Drosophila melanogaster: one gene and its partners. The protein of the gene in region 1 interacts with the protein of each later gene in a pairwise test. Each region holds a gene or a part of one and is shown on either strand. Other genes may lie near its edges. The genes, in order: ana2, Sas-6, Plp and tacc.

The links.
Region 2: the proteins of ana2 (region 1) and Sas-6 interact in a two-hybrid assay, tested with the Drosophila melanogaster proteins (2 studies listed by BioGRID).
Region 3: the proteins of ana2 (region 1) and Plp interact in a two-hybrid assay, tested with the Drosophila melanogaster proteins (one study listed by BioGRID).
Region 4: the proteins of ana2 (region 1) and tacc interact in a two-hybrid assay, tested with the Drosophila melanogaster proteins (one study listed by BioGRID).

What each region holds. Positions count from the first base shown.
Region 1 is NT_033778.4:8,897,862-8,902,238, forward strand, and holds ana2 (anastral spindle 2), read right to left. Parts: upstream 2,351-4,377; 5' UTR 2,260-2,350; coding exon 1,506-2,259; intron 1,455-1,505; coding exon 946-1,454; 3' UTR 868-945; downstream 1-867. Other genes in the region: Sec31 (secretory 31), read left to right, coding at 4-312, 390-461, 528-716; CG13751 (uncharacterized protein), read left to right, coding at 2,481-2,714; MrgBP (MRG/MORF4L binding protein), read right to left, coding at 2,789-2,979, 3,032-3,446.
Region 2 is NT_033777.3:29,993,607-29,997,897, reverse strand, and holds Sas-6 (spindle assembly abnormal 6), read right to left. Parts: upstream 2,542-4,291; 5' UTR 2,532-2,541; coding exon 2,358-2,531; intron 2,299-2,357; coding exon 1,447-2,298; intron 1,389-1,446; coding exon 1,055-1,388; intron 1,001-1,054; coding exon 942-1,000; 3' UTR 872-941; downstream 1-871. Other genes in the region: CG15525 (uncharacterized protein), read left to right, coding at 324-460, 523-871; CG7903 (uncharacterized protein), read left to right, coding at 2,740-2,748, 2,820-3,105, 3,159-3,750, 3,810-4,025, 4,085-4,136. UniProt on the Drosophila melanogaster protein: Central scaffolding component of the centrioles ensuring their 9-fold symmetry. Required for centrosome biogenesis and duplication. In ciliated neurons, required for centriole assembly but not necessary for cilium basal body and cilia function.
Region 3 is NT_037436.4:15,087,136-15,092,327, forward strand, and holds the start of Plp (Pericentrin-like protein), read right to left. Parts: upstream 3,059-5,192; 5' UTR 2,684-3,058; coding exon 2,657-2,683; intron 1,419-2,656; exon of another isoform or gene 1,191-1,418; coding exon of another isoform or gene 1,176-1,190; intron 1-1,175. Other genes in the region: sstn (stepping stone), read right to left, coding at 4,219-5,192.
Region 4 is NT_033777.3:4,743,304-4,748,728, forward strand, and holds the start of tacc (transforming acidic coiled-coil protein), read right to left. Parts: upstream 3,112-5,425; 5' UTR 2,872-3,111; coding exon 2,494-2,871; intron 1,363-2,493; coding exon 1,161-1,362; intron 880-1,160; coding exon 1-879.

The DNA of each region.
Region 1 (4,377 bases):
CAGCACGCAGCACCACTTGGAGGAGTGCCCAATACGTACTACAACCCGGCTGCCTTCAACAACAATCCCCAGCAGCAGCAGCAGCATCAGCAATCATATCTCCAGCCTCAGCAGCCAGCCCCTGGGATTCAGCAGCCAAACTGGCAGGGACAACAGCAAACCATTGGCTATACCGAGCAGCCAGCGCCCATCCAGCAACAGCGCCAACCGGCGCCGCCCAAGGAGAAGCCACCACTCCCCGAGGAGTACATCTACTTGCAGACTGTGCTGGAGGAGCTGAAGAACCGCTGCCTGGGCGCAACCAATGATCCGGTAAGTCTATTAATAAATGATCCATATAGACAAAAGGAATAACTTACTTTTGTTTATAAATTTTCTTACATTTTAAGCGCACAAAACGAAAGTTTGTCGATGTTGTCAAGAGGCTCGAAAATCTCTACGACTGCCTGAGAGATGGAAAGGTGAGAGCTGCTGCCTTAGATCGCGATTCAATTGCAATTCTCAAATGGCATTTACTTTAATTCCAGCTCACTCCCACCACGGTGCAATATCTGAATCAAATAGTTCAGTACATTCAAATATCCGACTATGCCAATGCTATGGAAATCCACACGCAAATCGCCTTCGGAACGGACTTTGCGCAGTGCGCGGGCTTTATGCAGGGACTGAAGGTCCTACTGCAATCCGCATCCGAGCTACAGTTGGTTCTGCGTTAGAGCCCCGTCGCCGGATCGCAGCCAAGTTCACTAAACGTATATTCTTATTGTGTCTTCAGATATCGATGTCAAACACAAAATGTTTTGTATACAAAGAGTGGTTCTCTACGTTAGTTTAGGCTGGGATCACCAGAAGATTGTCAACGTTATTCCGTGTATTGAAATATATTTCCACTTAAATCGCAAATAGACATATGCATAAATAACAAAACGAACATTGTACATGCTTTCACAACAGCTTCGGCTGGTTCCTGATATTCTCCAAGTCCAGTTGAATATGTGGCGAAGGGGCGGTCGCCGCCATGGGAGATTGTGGACACACCGGCTCCAGTTGCTCCTCGGGCAGCAGACGGTATTTTTTGAGATACTTGTACGAAGCATTGGATATGTCGTTTGGACTCTGCGCGTGGCCTATGTTGTCGATCGGACGCAGTGGCTCTGGATTAGGGGACTTCGGCGACGCCCCCAGGCGCATATCCTTCATCAACTCATCCACTGGCTGGCGCAAGTATTTCAGCGCCAGCTCGTTCATCACCATGCTCTTCTCGGTGTTGGGCTTGGCCAGTTGAGGGATCCGCTTCGCCTGAGGCGTATTGGCCCGGTAGCCCGTAGATTGGGCGATCGGCGGATGTGGTCGAGGAGACGGAAACTGAGGAATCACTCGTGCTTGTGGCGGCGGCAATGGTTCCTCCTCCTCTGCTATGTAATCCTGCATAATGGGAGACAAGCGTCTACCTGCTAGGAAGGATGTTTTATTGGATTCTTTTCATACAGATTCAACGTACGCACCTTGATTGGTGGTCAGAATATCGCACTGGGTGCCAGTGGTACTGCTGGCTTTTGAAATGGCTTCGGGTTTCGCTCGCTGCTGTTGCTCCAAAATCATCTCGCAGAGATTCCGAAGCTGTTGCTGCTCATGGCGCACGGACTCCACAAGGGATACCAGAGCCGCCAGATCACTCTTATTGGCCAAGTTGCTGACGTCGATGTCGGAATAGACAACCTGGGGCAGTGATTTTCGCGGAGGAGATGGGTTGAAGGGATCGGTCTGTGTGCCAGCACAGATGGTGAGGACATCTGCGTTGGAGGAGCTGGACAAGCGCCTAGATTGATATGCCTGTTGCTTGGGCTCGGCATTATAGCCACCAGCATTGCAGTTCATATGATTGGTAGTCTGCTGCGCATCGCTTGCATAGTTGCGATCCCGGGGCATTACTTGGTATTCCTTCGAGGAGCACGGACTATTGCTGCTGGGAGCGGTGCGAGGACCCAGTTCTGTGGCCAAAATGGGCGAAAAGTTGACCCTGGGCAGCATTTGCTTCTTCCAGGACGCGAAGGTGGGTGCAGCACGAGGGGATGACTCCTGATGTGCATGATTTGGCTGCTGCGGCTGCATCTGCGGATCCTGCGGCGGCTGGCCAAACAATATGGATACCTCCGGCACGGTGGGCCCTATAATCTCATTGGTGTGGCCCATGGGCACTGCTGCACTCGGCCTGGGCGCTAGTCTGGGCAGCATATCCTCCGTTTCGGGAACAAACATTTGGAGCGTATTTGTTTATATTTGCCGATTAAATTAAATTCGAGCGGGAGAATCTGTCCAATTGGAAGTCGATCGACTTAGGGGTGGAACTAGGGCTGACGTAAAACGCCAACTTATCGATACTTTATCGAGTGTACCCTACACTTAGCCAAGTTTCCAAGTGCACGAGTCACCCAGCGGACTGTGTGTCATAGCAAAAGCTGAAATTTCTCGGGGGAAAAATGCCTGTTTTGGAGCACATCAAAGCCATGGCAGAGACTCCGACTCCAGCTGAGAACAGCCCTGCACCGGCAGACGAGAATGCTCCGCCCCAGGCAGTCCGGGAACTGACGCAGACCGACCATCTCAACCGACGCCTTCTCAAATCGCTCCTGGAAAACATGCAGGCCACCGAGGTTCTGGCGCAGGAGAACGGGAACGGCTCCAACGAGGAGGACAACGATTTCGAAGAATAAATCCTTTTATTAGAGTACAGTAAAACTAATGAGCTAAAACGGATCAACAATCGTCAGTTTCGGGCGGGGGTCACCTATATGCGACGGCGCTTGTTGCTCTGCACCGGCGGCGGCGTAGTGGAGGGGCTGATGGACTCGTTGGACATGGAGCCGCGTGTGCGCTTGGCCGGACGCTTGGGCAGCTGCTCCTGGGGCTTGGCGACGGGCTTTTTGTCGCCGTCCTTGGTGGAATTCGTCGGTACCGGCGTTTTGGTTGCAGGTGGAGCTGTAAAACAACATTACAAGTGAATGAATCCTGATGATAACTAACGAACTACCTTTGCCATTGGTCTCTGCTGTTGGAGGGGCCGACTGTGCCTCTGCAGCCTCCTCGTTGGCATGCACTTCCACCGTCTTTTTGGTCTGTAGCGTTCCGTAATCCTGCTCCGGCAGGCTGAACTCGCGCTCCTCGTTGGGAAAGGGCAGCGACTCCAGATCGTCCAGTTCCTTCAGCTTGTACATGGTGCCCAGGTGGCGCCAGATCAGCTCGCTGGGCATTTCACGGTTCAGCGACTTGGACAGACGCTGGACAATGCAGGACATGTAGAAGTGCTTGTTGATGCCCACCGGGCGCAGGCCTTCCATTGCATGGAACAGCTGCAGCTCTTCCTCGGCGGACCACTCGTGGTCGAGGGCGGCCGGTAAGGGGGCCGCCGTTCCGGCCACAGCCAGACCCTTGTCCTTGGCCATCATTTTGCAGAGCGCATGGAACTAAAAACTGATACGTATTGTATGTTTTTCTGCGCGAATATTAGCGATGGTATGCGGGTGCGCTCACGCACCCGAACTATCGCCGCGCGGCACATCACTAGTTTGGGTGTGTATCCACTTTTATTCGTCAACTTTGCTCGATTTTAGCCCGTAGAGTTCGAGATTTAAAAAAAAAAAAAACATATAAGCCGGAGCTGGTAATTAACAAATAGTGTGCAAATATAGTTATGTGTTGTGTGTGCATCCGTCGAAAACTTCACTTTTCCACTATAATCCCTCTGCTAACCACACGGCGCAGTACGCCTTCGTGTGTTTGTGTGTGTGTTCTCCTTCACTATTTCTGCATAAAAAACTAATTTTCGGTGTTCCCAACGAGTTGAGCAGTGTTTTTTGCACACAACTCGGGTTCTCCATGTGCTGGCACAAGTAGCGCCCACCGCCCACCACCACGCCCACTTGGGGTCAGTTAATAACCTTGCACTTGTTCGCGTCAAGGCTTCCAGTTCGGCTGGAAAGTTAATCAGCAATGCGATCGATGAAACCAATGCCTGCGTTCGGTTCTTTACATGTGCCACAAAATAACACATATGTTAATGCGTAGTGTGACTCACTATCTAGCTATCCTAACTTCCCGCCTAGTACTAAACACTGACTAAACTACACCAATCTACCAACTATCTCTGTCTAGAATCGCGAAAATGTACACATATGTTATAGCTTTGTGTCGCCTGTTCGATGTTGTGCCCGTATGGGGAAGCCTGTACAAAGAATGAGATATCTAAACTACATATAACCAACTTGTTATTTCCAGCCAGCCATTAAGATCCATCCAAACCAGTATTCCCAGAATCATACGATAAGATAAGCCAAAGCCAAAGATCAAAGACCAAGCCCTTCGGCGAAGCCACACAAG
Region 2 (4,291 bases), on another chromosome or scaffold:
ATCGGTTGTTTCGATCAGACCGTATTCGTTGTGGAATGTGGTTGCTTTCGTCACTAAAGTAATTATGTATTTTTAATATCTTGATACGCCTCCTTAATCTTAAATTGTAATAAATAAAATAAAATCGAATCTTGTATAACAACAAATATCTTGTTGTAAAATAATAGTTCATACCTGCATAATTCCAAGCTGGTAACGAACGCGATTGTAATCGATATACGATATATGTATGGGAAGAACAAGAAACATAACAATAATAAATAAACGTAAAGACCCCAGACTCAAATTTAAATTAATTGTATTATCTTGAGAACAAACTTCACATGGGCATGATGGACAACAATGGCGTCGGCAAGCTGACACAAGAATCTCTAAAACGCAAGGAGCGTCTGCAAAAACTCCGGGAACAAGTGCAAAACAAAGGAGGAGACGCTGCCGAGTCCATTGAAAAGTTACCCAAGTCAGCAATACAATGAAATGCTATTATGAATCCCTATAAACCAGTTTCATATATCTTTGCAGACCAGTTTTCCGCAGCTACAAGCCCCAGAATGAGACCACCGATGGCGAGATTCTAGCACAGGAACCCACGGGCAACATAGAATCAGCTGTGGAGGATCAATTGAGTCTGCTCCAGCAGCCCATGGTGATAGATGAGATTGACATAACCAACCTGGCTCCCCGAAAACCCGACTGGGATCTGAAGCGGGATGCCAGCAAAAAGTTGGAGCGACTGGAACGACGTACCCAGAAAGCTATTGCTGAACTCATCCGTGAGCGACTGAAACTGAACCAAATGGAGGATATCAGCCAAGCGGTGAATGTGGCCACGGCTCATGCAGGTGAAAGTGTTCAGGAGGATTATGACTAGAGCTGAATAATACAACTAACTTTACTAAACTGGTACAAAAAACGAAAAAATGCATTAACAATAAGTAAAACTATCGCCGATTTTCTTTGCCCGTGGGTATTGCAAGCCGTTCTTTTAGAATGAGGATTTCTGAAAAGAGCAAGTTGTAAGTAGGTACACTTAAAGATTGGGGTCTCAGCTTACGTTTGGAATACTTCTGCTCCAGTCCCTGGGCAAAGTTACGCATGGATTGCAGTTGCTGGGGGATTTCCTCCCTCAGTTTTTCAATAGTTATTCGAGCCTCGCGCAGCTCATTCTCCCGCAGGGATAGTAGGCTCTCCTTGGCCTGAACCGCCTTCTCTTGCTGCAGAGCCACCTCTGTGCGCCAGGCAATGGTCTTTTTGAGGTTGAGCAGCTCCTGGCTTTGTTTAACGATTATCTGGTTGGCCTTGGAGATCTCCTCGGAGGCCATTTCCAAAGCCTGGCGCTTGGTGTGCAGGATCTTCTTCTCGGCCTCCAGTTCAGCGGCTATGTTGGCCTGCAAAATTAAAAGGGATATACTCTTCTGATGTGCATTATTCTTTTTATACACATACCTTCTCTTTGTTTCCCTTTTGAATATGTTCCTGCAGCTCGACAGTGTGCTGCTTGAGGTCCTCGATTTTGTACTCCAACTTGCGTTCATGCTTCCTGATATTGGCCACATCCCCGTGCAGTTTGTCATTTTGCTCTTTTAGGGTGCACACTCTGGCTTTGCAACAGGACAACTCCTCGGACAGGGTTTGACATCGTTTCTCGGCCTGCTCTTGGGCCGACTTTAGTTCTGCTTTCTCCAACGAAGCCTTGTCCAATTGGGCCTGAAAGCCGGAGATCGCTCTACGATTTCTCTCCAGCTCATTGCTGCGCTGCTCGTTTATTTTGGACAGTTTTTCCTGGTATTGATGGACCTCGGCAGCATGCTTTTCCTCTAAGATGCGAGTATTTTCGGCCAAAGCTTCCCTGATATTTGTGTTTTCCGTGGTCAACCTTTCCGCATGCGCGCGTTGTGCGTTGATTTCAGCCTGCATTTGCTGCATACTTTGCTCGAGAATATATTGCTTTTTGTGGGAGGCTTCCAGCATGCTGTTTATGTAGAAGAGTACGGTGTTCAAGGGAGCAGAACGACAAGGCAGGCTAAGGTGAACTAGGTTCTTAAAGGACCGAATTTCAACAAACTGAAGATAATAGTCGTGGACCTCCCTGCCGGATGAAAGGTTCTGATCCCGTGTGGTCAGGTGCAGCTCCAGTTTACCCGACTGGCAGTCCTTCAGCATGCGCACTACATTGTCAATGAACCCAGAGAATGACACATTCAGCGACTGATCCTGTTTAAGATCCTGAAAGGAGGCGCTGTCCACTGTGGTGATGTACATGCGCCGTTGATCGGACTTCTCCGTTAATCGGAGTTGCTGTGGGGCAGAGGATGTATTGAAATTTGATCGGAGGAGGTCTTGACAAGCATATTTACCAGCAGCTCCTTGAAGTCCACTCTCTCCGCGTACAGTAGACATGACCGTTTGCTAGACCGCGTCATTTCGCCATTAAAGTTCACCAGCATCTCTACGCTGGGCAGGATGTTCACCACGCTCTTGCCATAGTCCATTTTGGCGGAGTAGCTATCCTCGCTCCCTGGAGGCCACATGATAGATCAGGCTCGTGAGAAACCTTAATTTTTAAAATTTTAAAATTGGTAAACAAAAGTGATGGCTTGGGTCTATCGATGTCGATAGCTACCGATATGGCCGTGGAAGTAGCCATCGCTGGTCACACTGCCGGTCAGGTGCACAGTTGTCCATCTCCATTTCAATAAAAGAAAAAAACAGCGAAAAGTTGTAGAGAAAAATAAATACATGAATACTGTACGTAAGAAAGAGGCAGCGCCGCCGGATTGTCCATAGTAATCCGGAGTAATGCTAGCTTTATCCTGCAGACCGCCAAGGTGTTCGTCGGCAGCCTGCCGCGCTGCAAGCCGGAGGAGCTGCGTCGACTGTTCACCAACTATGGATCGGTCGTTGAGTGCGACGTGATGAATCGCTGCGCCTTCGTCCATCTGGAGAACACGGACATGGCGGAGGCGGCCATCGCAGCGCTGAATGGCACCATCTTCAAGGGCCAGCCCATTGTGGTGGAGGCGGGCAGGCCAAAGTACGGCCCGGGAGGTGGCAGTCGAGGTCAGCCGGGCTCTGGGGACAATCCGGGGCGCAGGCCCTCGCAGGGTAAGCTTTGATCACTCCAAAGATCCAGCATCTAAGTATTTCATCATCCTCAGTTCAAGGTGGCGGGGCGGACAAGAGACCTCATGAATCCAATACCAACTTCAAGCGCAACTTTCGTGAGGAAGTCGGTGGCAGATTCTCCAACGAAGGCCCAAGGAGCTCGAACTCCTCGGCCGCCAAATTTGGTCCCGTGAGAAACGAGTCCAACTACAGACAACAGCGCAGTGCTCCATACTCGAAAGGACCACCGAACAATGAGTCTTCCAATCAGGGACAGGGCTTTAGGAACAAATTTGCAGGCGGAGGCAAGTTCGGTGGAAGCGCGGGCAACGAGGGACGCTTCGGCAGCAATCGGTTTCAGCAGCGGGACAACAGTGGACCACAGCCTGGCAGAAGAAACTTTAAGAACAGTCCAACCAGCGGATATAGGGGAGGAGGCAATAATAGTGACTTTCAGGGAGGCAGCTCCAGCAGCGGGGGAGGAGGATCCGTAAATCAGAGGGCCGGCGGCGGCGGCCCAGGTCCAAGCCATGTGCGACAGGATCGACGTGGATTTGCCCTGCCTGTAGAGCATCAGCAGCAGCAAATGGGCTTCGGACGCTTTGGCAATGGACCAATGAACTCTGGCAATCGTGGGACTAATGGGTAAGTTGTGCATAAGATTGGGTTCTAAATTATATATAATATCTTGTTTTGCCATATAGAGGAAATCCACCGGGAGGACGTGGATTTTTCAATGGAGGAGGAGGCGGATTCAATGACAGACGCGATAGCAGTCACGAGACAAGCAGTCCCCAAGGAGGCCCAAGCAAACGCGGAGGTTCAGGAGGTAGAAATCACAATCAGAATGGCATAAATGCATATCACTCGGAGTTCCCGCCCTTGGGCAGTGGCGGCGGAGGTCCAGGCCAAAGAAACCGGTAGGTTCATTCATATCGTCTGCATAAAAACCACTAACCCCAATCATCGCCATTTCCAGCTTCAACGGGCCCAGACCCGGGCCAAATATGGGCGGCAATAGAAGATTTTAAGCAAGTGCAATGCAGCAACGATGTTTGCCAGTCCACGTGTACTCCACTTAATAATGTAATAGCCGAATTTTGTTTTTCATTGTTCCGCGCGCAGAATCTTTTAGTTAAGCCAACGACGACGACTTTTAATTTGTCCTATAGCCGTGTACTTTTAA
Region 3 (5,192 bases), on another chromosome or scaffold:
AAAAAGAGTTATTTCCCATTTATATTAAGTTTAAATTGTAATTTACATACAATTCAAGTCCGTACTGTATTTTGAACGACTGAAAAATATATTTTCCATATTACACATACGCCATGTGGGTCAGGCCGTAACGCTTGACAAAGTTTTCACAATATTAGCGGAAAATGCTTGTGAAAAAGTTATCCAATTCCCGGCCACATGGTGGTTTGAACGTCCTTGAACTTGTCAGGACAAAGACAACAACAACACATTCAGGAAGTACCAGCACAGCGATAAGGATATCGGGATAACAAGTTTGCACCTATAACCATGACAACGGATTTTCTTTGAGTGTGCGTGAAAAACGAAAACGAAAGTCTTTTACATTCCTTGCAAACATTTCAATTTGTTGCTATAGTTTGGACCTCTTTTGTGGGCCGTTGTTTGGGTGTGACACACATTTCAGTTGGATCGTCTGAGGTTTTTGCACTTCGGCGACTAATAACAACAATGCCACTCCCCTTTGGAACGGGAAAAGGGGCGAAGGACCTAGCCCAACGTCTCTGTTAATGGCGCTGACGCCTTTCCTTTGATTTTCCACAAGATATTGTCGATAAACCCTCAATAATGGCACGCATATTGGCGAAAATGATTAAATTAATAGCTTTGCCTGGCGCAGAATTGACAGTGAAATATGTTGGACAAAAATAAATTCGGATTGGAGAAAGGATTTTCTTTTGCGTTGCTATGAAGAAAGGTTATTTCATTTAAAGGGTTTAGTTTAATATAAATTCTTAAACGCTTGCATTTAACATTTTCATATTTTATATAAAAATTTACATATGAACACACAATTTATATGATTGTGAAGTAGATGATGAATTGCTTTATATCCTATACCCGCATTTTATTTGATTTACAAACCAAATCTTTTACAGCATTATTCTTTCAAATAGTAATTCTAATAAATAATATTCAAGAACAATTAAGAATGAGATCGTATCGTAACTAAATTTATAGAAAATATGGTAAATACTGTATAATTTTCTCTAAGTACACTGCAATGCAAAAAAAATCCACTAATTTGGTTCATTATCATGCGGTTTCGAATGATATTAACACACTTTGGCTGGCGAGTGATGCAAATGTCACTGGGCGATGCTAAAGATCACATTGCGGACAATAACTGAACTCACATGCAATTTCCCCATTTCGCTGCCCGCCACTCATTCGATTCAATTCAGCGATGAAGAAGTTATCTCAATTAAATGCAATTTACAATCACTTAAAAAGTCCATATATCGACAATGGCTATTGAGGGTTACATTGTGCAAACTTCTACGTATATGCAAATGTTTCGTAGATTTTTTTAAACAATTTTATGGGATCACAGGCACTGACACTGCACTCTTATCTTTATAGAGCTATAAATGTGCGGAAAACCGAAAAACGACGACGCGACCGCCTGCAGTGCAGGTTCTTTTATAAATAAAACGCCCGAAGAGACATTCAATTGAAATCAGTCACTCAATCCGAGGAAAATCAAAAGAAAAGCGTTGGAAAAGAGCAGCCACGGGAGAGGCCGAGCGATTGAGAGCGAGTGCCGCGGAAATTTGCAACGCGGTTCCAAGCGGTTCCGTGCACCGAATGTTCGCTCCCATTTTTTATTTATAAACAAAATGTGTGTGTGGAACATAAATTTGTTTGGAAGATGGTGATAAATGCAAAAGAGTAGTTTTAAAAGCATTTAGAACTATTGTTTTACGATTCGCGATTGCGATTGATACTGAAGTAGCTATATATATAAGTACTTAGAATTAGTATTATAATCAGAATTAATGTCCCTCAAAAACTGTTATATTTCATTTTTTATAGTTAGTAATTTATAATTATTCTATAATCATCATAAAACATTTTAAGTTAAGTTTAAAAACTTGAAGTTCAAATTTTATTTTAAAATTTGTATACAATAACAATTTAATATAAGAAATTCGAGCCATTAATCATTTCGATGAATATTAAAAATTTTTGATCATTTTCGTATACATTATCCAAAAATTTTCATCGTATTGCGGTACATGTATTAGATTTATTCAGCAACAAGTTGCAGAAACATTCTTTCCTCAACAAAATCGATAAGCGAATCGGTTATTGTAGCGAGACATTTTTTCAAAAATATGAATATTGATGTTTATAATAAACAGGGAAACAGTAGCCAAGATTCACTAATAAATGTATTAGTTATTTAACAAAGCAATTAAAACCGCATAATGTGGACAATTCAATTATAATTTTCACTTAAAAAGTTGCTCTATAATAATAAAAAGTATGCTATTCAATGATATAAAATATAATACTTATTTAAAAAATAAAATATTATTTAAAATTCCTAATCCGTTGGGTATTTTTCACTGTAGATTGTTTACAGATTTCGGAAGGGCCTTGTGGTCTTCTAATCGAAAGTTCAAAGGCGCATTCAATTTCGATTTCATTTGTAAACACACTTGAAAAACAACATGTTCTGTTTGTGGATCGTAATGAATTGAAAACACACATATCAAGGCGCATTCAACCCACATTTTGTGGATTTTATGCACAATCCGAGAGCACAGATGATGGATGTTCGGCTCCCAAATGGGTTAATACTTTAATGGATACCCCTGATTGTTTGGCTTACCCAATCGTATATAGTGTACAGATTCATGGTGACTGCACTTGAACCAAATAATTTATGGCCTATTCCCTGTTTTTTGGCCGCCTTTGTTGACACTTGCGCCTGTCAGTTGGCTATATCTATAGGCATTCTAGATGTGGCCCAAATGCGATCCATTTTCTTGTTGATGTTTTTACGTAGTGGTTTTGATGACACTATATTTTAGAATTTTTTCGGGTTGACTTGCTTACAAACACAGACGAATGCAACGAACCGAATAATTTTGTAGGTTAGGTTGGAGACTTTACGTAAAATTTGATATTTTTTTAATTTAAAGTTTAACACGAAGACAACACAATGGGGGAAACTAGCTACTTAAAGCGTGAACTCTTAATTTATCATTATGTGATTTTCAATGCTCCTCGAGGGAGAAAGAACCGACAAATTTGAAACTTAAAAACAAAAAAAAACCAATAGTGCAACCGATCTGAAACAGTTGCACGTAATAGCGAGCGCGATGCAACTGAGAACCAAATCCATTGCGAAGAGTCTTTATATTTTTGGGGTATCGGGGGATATCCACGCTCTTTTTCTCCCCATCCAGATACTGTAATGCTCAGTGAAGCACAACAAGAGATTGTTTAAAAATAATCAATCGTAAACAAAATTTGTTGCAGTGGCATTGAGTTGGGGAGAGTCCAAAAGAGAGAATTCAATGTACTACTACCAGATCGCGAGAGAAACAAAGAGAAATCCGAGAGATAAAGGGGAGGAAAGTAATTAAGTTTTATCGGTTGTTCTATAAATAAGTTTTAACCAGAGATTAAGGAACTACAAGATATATTCGATAAGGAATGATTTAAGGAAGTGAGAACACATTTATGGGTATAAATGAGACATTTATTTATAGGCTAGGGAAATATAAAGCTTTCTTTTCATTTCAATTATTCAAAAAATCTGAAATGCTACAAGAGCATTAATAATGTTTTGAGAAAAATATTGGAAGTTCAACGAAATATTTGAATGCTTAAATATCAATAAAAACGCACTCGCATATATTTTAATATAAAATATTTATTTTTATCTATTTGTTATTGCTTGTCGGTAGTTAGTCTTAAGAAAACTCGGTGAATATATCAGTATCCAATCGGTATATTCATATAAAAATATCATTCGATTAGGGTAAATATCCTTTATACACTTATTAGTTAGCTAGTCAGTTATTTGTTTATAAATGCTGTTAACTATATAAAATATTTCCATATTTTCTAGGCATCCTGTTGTAAGGCGATTTCTGTCCCCCTCGGGGATAATATTGTCCTGTGTTTTTTGTACTTTAAAAATTCAATACAAAATTTGAATGTCGTTCGATAAATTGCTTTCAATACGTCAGTTTTCAATTTGGCAGATCTTTTGAGCATTGTTATTTTCTTGATCCTAAATAATTTGGCTAACGAACTTAAAATTCGAAAGGAGTCCAATAGTTTGAGCTGCTTTTGCTTTGTAGTTTCTCAGTGCTACAAAATTAGTTTAGTTAATCACATTAAAAGGTGAAAGTGCATGAGAATTCCGTACAACCTTATAGGTCAATTAGGATTTCCGCCCTCCTTTTGCTTAAACTTGGTGGAGTATTTGTAGAAATCGGACATCTCGAAGGGTTTCGTCACTTCCTTGTACGGCTGGAAAGTGGCCTGCTGAACTACGGTCATGTTTTTGGGCGACTCGATGCGAATTTCCGGCGATAAACTGGCTGTGGCCACTGTTACTGGCGGTGACACAAGCGCTGTTTGGACAGCATTCCCATGAGCAAGTCCGCTTGAACTGCCATTACCACTGTGACTTAGGTTCTGGTTCTGAGTATGAGCCTGATTTGCGGGTGGCGGTCTGGGCGGCGGCGTTGGCTGCTGCATTTGACTTGGCTTGGGTGGTAAGTTTCGCAGTGCTGGTATGTCCAGAGGTTCCAGCGGATACGATACCGATATCCCCAAAGTTTGCTCCATTGCATTGAGATACGAAGTCGATTGACTTAGCAGGGCTTTCGAACTGGTATTCACCGCATAGCTGGCACTGGGATAATTCGGAGTCGGTCGCTGGTTGGACATGGAATAGTGACGACCCGCTACCGACATGGACTGCGAGGAGAGCTTAGCGCGGGGTTTACTTGAAACCATGGCAGCTGCGCCGGGATTACTACTCCCATTACTACTCCCAGCTGGACTGTGGGGCTGTGAATCCATCTGCCTGATAACAGCTGGCCCATCTAGCGAAGATTCCAGCCACTGCTTGGGCTTGGGCTTCTTCTCAATGGTCGTGGACGAGGATGACAGTGAGATCTCATCGTGCGGCGGATAGCGGCTGGGTGGCATAGGCACCGCCAGCATATCGCTGGAGTGCGATTTCACCTCTATTATGCCCAATTGTGGAGGAGTTAAGGGCGCTATGTGTGACTGGGAACGCCATCGATATTGCTGCTGATGCTGGGCAGCTTCCATATCGACGGAAACATAGCTGGGCGCAAGGGATATAGCATCTAGTTGTCGCTGGTGATGTAAAGGATTAC
Region 4 (5,425 bases), on another chromosome or scaffold:
TGGCATCATCCACTTTCATGGATTCATCCACATCCATTTGATCAAGCTCCTCCACAGTCCTGTCTTCAGTTGCCTCCATAGCTGGGGATGCATTTTGCTCAAGGCTGATGGCAGTGCATGGTCTCTCCATTGATTCTACTGCCACCGAAAATTGCTTCTCTTGATTAGGGTATTCTAGAGATTTTGCTGATTTTGTGGACAGTTCTGAAGAAGCCTCTTTGAGATTTAAGGCCTTTTCAGGCTCCTTAGGATTTTGTGCGTCCTTCACCTGAGCACTACTGACCGGGTGGTGCTTCTCTTTCTGAAATATATCTTTTGTATTTGTTTGCATTTCCTCTTGATGCTTAGCTAAGTCTTTCGTAGAGTCCAAGGCAGATAAGGTGAGCTTCGGCTCAAAGGATTGTGTACCAGACTCCTCAGACAGTACTGATTCTACCAATGATTCTGATTCCTTTGCATCACTATTGGGTTTAGAGTGTTTGGCTAACTGGTCTAGTTCAACCCTATTTTGCTCCTGATTTGGATGATAGTGCACAAAATTATTCTCTGGTTTTGACTGGGTTACGCTGAGAATATGCGTTTGCATAAGATGACGGTCTTCCGCATTCAAGACGTCCTTTAACATTTCCATGGTTTCGTTTAGGTCATCCACATCCATGGCTTCATAGCTGACGTTGTTGTGCTGGCTAACTGCCAAAGGATCGTTGAATTCAGCTCCCAGTGTAGAAACTGAGGTCATGGACAGCTGCTGCTCCAAAACATCATTAAGGGCACTTGAATATGCCTCTAACTCCGATCGATCTCCGGTGTAGCGCTCGCTATGAAGCGATAAACACTCGACAAAAACATCCGAATCCGAATGGTTGGATTTCAGTTGAGCTAAGGGAGGAATGAATGCGATATATTAATCAATTCGTTTTAATAATAATTAAATACATATAAGAAATTTATTTATATAATTAATACAACGAGAAATTTATACATAAACTTGGAAATGATTTATTTTCCCCAGCTGGCCCTTTCCTTTGTATAAATGACGGTATTGAAATAGAAGAAATTACTTCGCTCTTCTGGCGGATTTCGTATGGAATTCTTTTGTACATCAATATAATTTTTCTACCTTAAGAGATTTCTGGGTTACACAAACAAGATTTACTCACTATCCATATCGGTACTTAAAGGAGCTAGTTCCGGTATTTGCGTCTCATCGAACTCGGGAAGACCTCCAAACTTTGGAACGAGGTCGTCTTCTGGCTTAAGTCCACCGGGTACCGCCGTCTGATGCCCCAGAGCTGCCGCCATTGCCTTCTGTTGATCCATGCTCGTTGGCTTGGGACTGGGCTTCACCGCCAACGGACTCAGCTGCCAAACAAGAGATGCAAAATTTAAGAATATAGTTATCAAGATGTACATCGCGGTCATGATCCGAATAGTTTTAAACCGTGAACAACCGATGTTGGGAATGGGGTTTTAAAGATGATCACGAGTAGCAGCTGGTTGGTCATTTAATTAAGAATTTTTGACACACAAAAAGGCAAGAGCCCCACCACAGTTGGCATAAATAAATCGCATTTGGGATGACTTTTCCCGTATTTTCCCATTGCCAAGAAATTATACAAAGGCATAGGACCCCCATTTTTAGTTATTATCATATACAAAAGAATACATTATTATGAAATTATGATCTTCATTTGAAAAACTTCAATCTCATCTAATGTAGCCCATATGATACAGATGCCTTCAATTCACGCTTAAAAAAGACATACATTTCAAATGTTTGTCGCAGTCGGTCAGTCAACAAAAGCAAATGTCATTAATTAAAAAGCCAGCCAAGACGTAAAAATCGGGTATATGGCATATGTTTGGGAGGGTGGCAACGAAACGGATTGAGGAGCAAAAGGTGGGGAGATGGACGTGGAACTGGGTCGACGTCAGCTTTTGTGCAGTGCGAAATAAACATGCCGCGGATTCAATGCGGCCGGCCGCCATGTTTAATGTCTATTTAGGTTTGGGAGCATCGTTCTACACGCGGAATTTAATTAGAGCGCATTGCAGTATAATGGGTGCTGCAAGGTTAAAGTCAGAAGAATAAGGCGAGTGGTGACCGGCTTATGAGCGAGACACTAAAAATTAGGAAAATTCTGGCATTAGACCAATTTCTCCGTTTCGATTTTATTGATAAGTATTTTAATTTTAATTTTTTGACAATGGGCTCAAATTTGAGTGGTAATGGGAAGCAGATTCCTGCGGAATATTAGCCCAAGCTAATGGCTAGATACAACCCTATTTAAAATAATATTTTCTGCAACGCAATAAGGTGACAAAACCAAGTGGAACCGCATAAATACTATATATGCAATCGGCAAAACACATTGGGACATTACAAAAAAATTCCAATGTGTAGATTTATGCAGTTTGCCTAATACTAGAACACCCCCCCCCCCCCCCCCAGGGATGCACATAAAAAGATAGTCCTAATTCTTTCAGACATACCTCGCCACTCATGGCTTGCAAGTGCTCCATTTCGTTAGCACTCACTTGGTTCAGATTGAAGTTTATTTCGCTTAGAAATTTCTGTATTTCTTCTCTACTATCAGTGCTGTCCTCGGGGGCTGGGAGTGGGTTCGAGATGGATTCCATAAATAGTTCACAGTGCTTTCCCTCCAGTCGTTGCAGCTCCTCAGAGGCGGACTCTAGTAACGAGTCCAGGTGCGCGGATACAAGTGTAACTCCTCCCTTATCCCTTGGTGTAGAACATTCATCAGCGGGACTAGCAGCTTCTAGGGCTTCCATTGTCGTTGGCTGATTGGTGCTGATGCCAGTGGTGGCGATGCTTTTGGGTCTTTTGATGATATTCGCGAGGAAATCCATGCCGCTCTACGCACGATTAACTCCTGAGACGCGATACGGTTCACTTGGCTCCAAAAAATAATGGATCTATAGAGTTCCTTAGTTTGGTCTTTAGTGTTTTTTTTTTTTTTTTTTTTTTGTGGTTTTTGTTGTGACACAGATTTGGGCTCGCCTACTCGGTAAAATCTTTACTGTGATTTTCCGCTTCCATTATATTGGGTAATACCTCCGGGTTTCTCACGGCCCGTTGTCGCGTGCGGTTCTCACTGCCTCCCGATCATGTCTGCCTTTAAAATCAATTTAAAAATATTTTCGTTTTCAATTTGCTTTGCTCTGCTCAGCGTCACACATGCACAAATACTTAGAGCACGGCGAGAGTGCGGGGGATCGACAGACCGAGTGAGAGAACGAATAGTTTGAATGGCATCCACATAACGATCCGGATGTTTTCGTATGTCTTCATGTTTGGATCGTTTTAGCCCACATGGCGTTCTCCCCTTATCAGCACGGTCCTCTCTTCCATTTATAATACTGCCATATGTTTTCACATGTGAGACGGCGGCTAGAGACACCTTTGTATATTACACATTATGGATTTCATACCAACTTAAAACATTTATTTAGCACATCCTTAGTCTTGAAATAGTTCCGATAAGTTATACTCTGAACTTTTAAGCACAAATATTCCTAATGAAAATTAAATCAAAACAACAGAGAACTCAGTCGTTTTTCTCGACTACCCATTACTCAGCTTTTGGAGCTACGAGAAATATACCCTTCAAAGATTTTATTAGCATATAAATAATATAAGTCTTAGTGGCCAGATAGACTTGGCTGGTGATTCTGAAGATGAAATCTTATCCTTTCTATGGTTGGAATAGTTACCCTTTTCTATTTCGAGAAAATATATTGGGTTTTATGAAGCTAGAGGGCAACACACACTTGATCCATTTAAACACACTTCTCTTAGATATATGAAATACATTTTGGAAACGGTCGAGGTCGTGGGCAACATTTATAAAATAATAATGTCAAAAGAGCGGGCTCAAGTTGACAACCTTTTTGACTGAACTGCAGTGAAAAACTGAAAAACTATACAGGCCTCAGACGAAATTCAGACTGAAAGGCAGCAGTGAAAGTGCAAGACACCGCAAATAAGTCGAAACACTTAAAGAAGGGGATAAATAAATGGGATACGAGAATACGGCGACCGCCGACTGCTTATATTGTCTTCGCAAATCAACTGGAGGAACTTGGTGCAAATTCAACGCTTTGATGACAGAATTATTTTGCACATTTTCCATAGGATTTTTGGAGAACAGTCTTATTTGCAAAATGCTTTCTCTTAAAGATATACCAGTAGAGGCAAGTAGAGTGCTCTAAAATAATAAATATGTTGATTTGGCTCATCACATTGTTTCAAGTGTAGAGGCCTGGTGGGTCCCAGATGACATGCAATCCCACAGCCATTGTTGCGCATCATGGCGCACTATCTGCAAGCTCCACATTGCCCAACGGCTGACTTTGCATGTTTGGCGAGAAAATGTAAGCAATGAAACGGAATCCCACACGATGGGCCTTGACGAGGGGGGAATAGTTAGATGTTGGCTCTAGCGTTATCCAAGCAGCGCGCGACAGGTGACAAGATATCACACGGTTCCCGGCTCAGGGTGAATTTAAAACCAATGTAGTTTGTTGAAGCATATAAGCCTTGAGTGGAATCCAAATAGTGGCCACAAATGAGTATACTGATTTCAGAAAACACAATAAATACAATAGAATAGAATACAAGTGGAATTTGAACCTTAAGCTGCAATTCGAATATCCAATAGAACTCAGGAAAATAAAAGAAAACAAATATTGAGGAAGAGCCAACTATAAACTGATCTAAAAATAGGCAAATGTGGAAAGGGGTGGAAACCATCTGTAGATCCTTTATAATGAGCATTTTTGTTGGCAAAAGGGAAGATGGAGTTAAATGACATTTAGTCAAACTTAAATCCTCAGATGGGCGTTTTTTGGACTGTAAACCGCATTAGGCACTGACATTTTGCAGCCGTTAGCCGCCAACTGATTTATTGGCATAATAGCGATACACACTAGCATTTTTAAATGGAAAGTGCACCATCTGGAGAGTGGAAATTTCAAGAGACAAATATATAGAAGGAAGAATAAGTAACTTTTGATTTTCCCTTGGCATACCCGATTCCCTCGTCCGTCGTCCGCCTTTATGGTAATTTTCCCGGACAAGGCCCTCGGTTTCCGTGTCTTGCCCGGCTTATTGCCCATTCTCCTATGGCTATGGCAGATCGGGGAAACTGGTCACCTGGGATGGACAATGTCCGGCGGACACCGATCAACTAGAGAACTCTCGTTCGCGACAGCTGCCTCAGAGCTAATAGGAACAGCGAATAATGGAAATTTATATGTACATATGTATTTACGATGAACAATTGCGAATAAAGAAAATAGCAGAACAGCCTGCGACGCAGCATACCCACACATATGTACAAAGTACATAACCGAACACACACATATGTACCTGTAGACGTGTGAGTTGAATTATGCCTCTGCC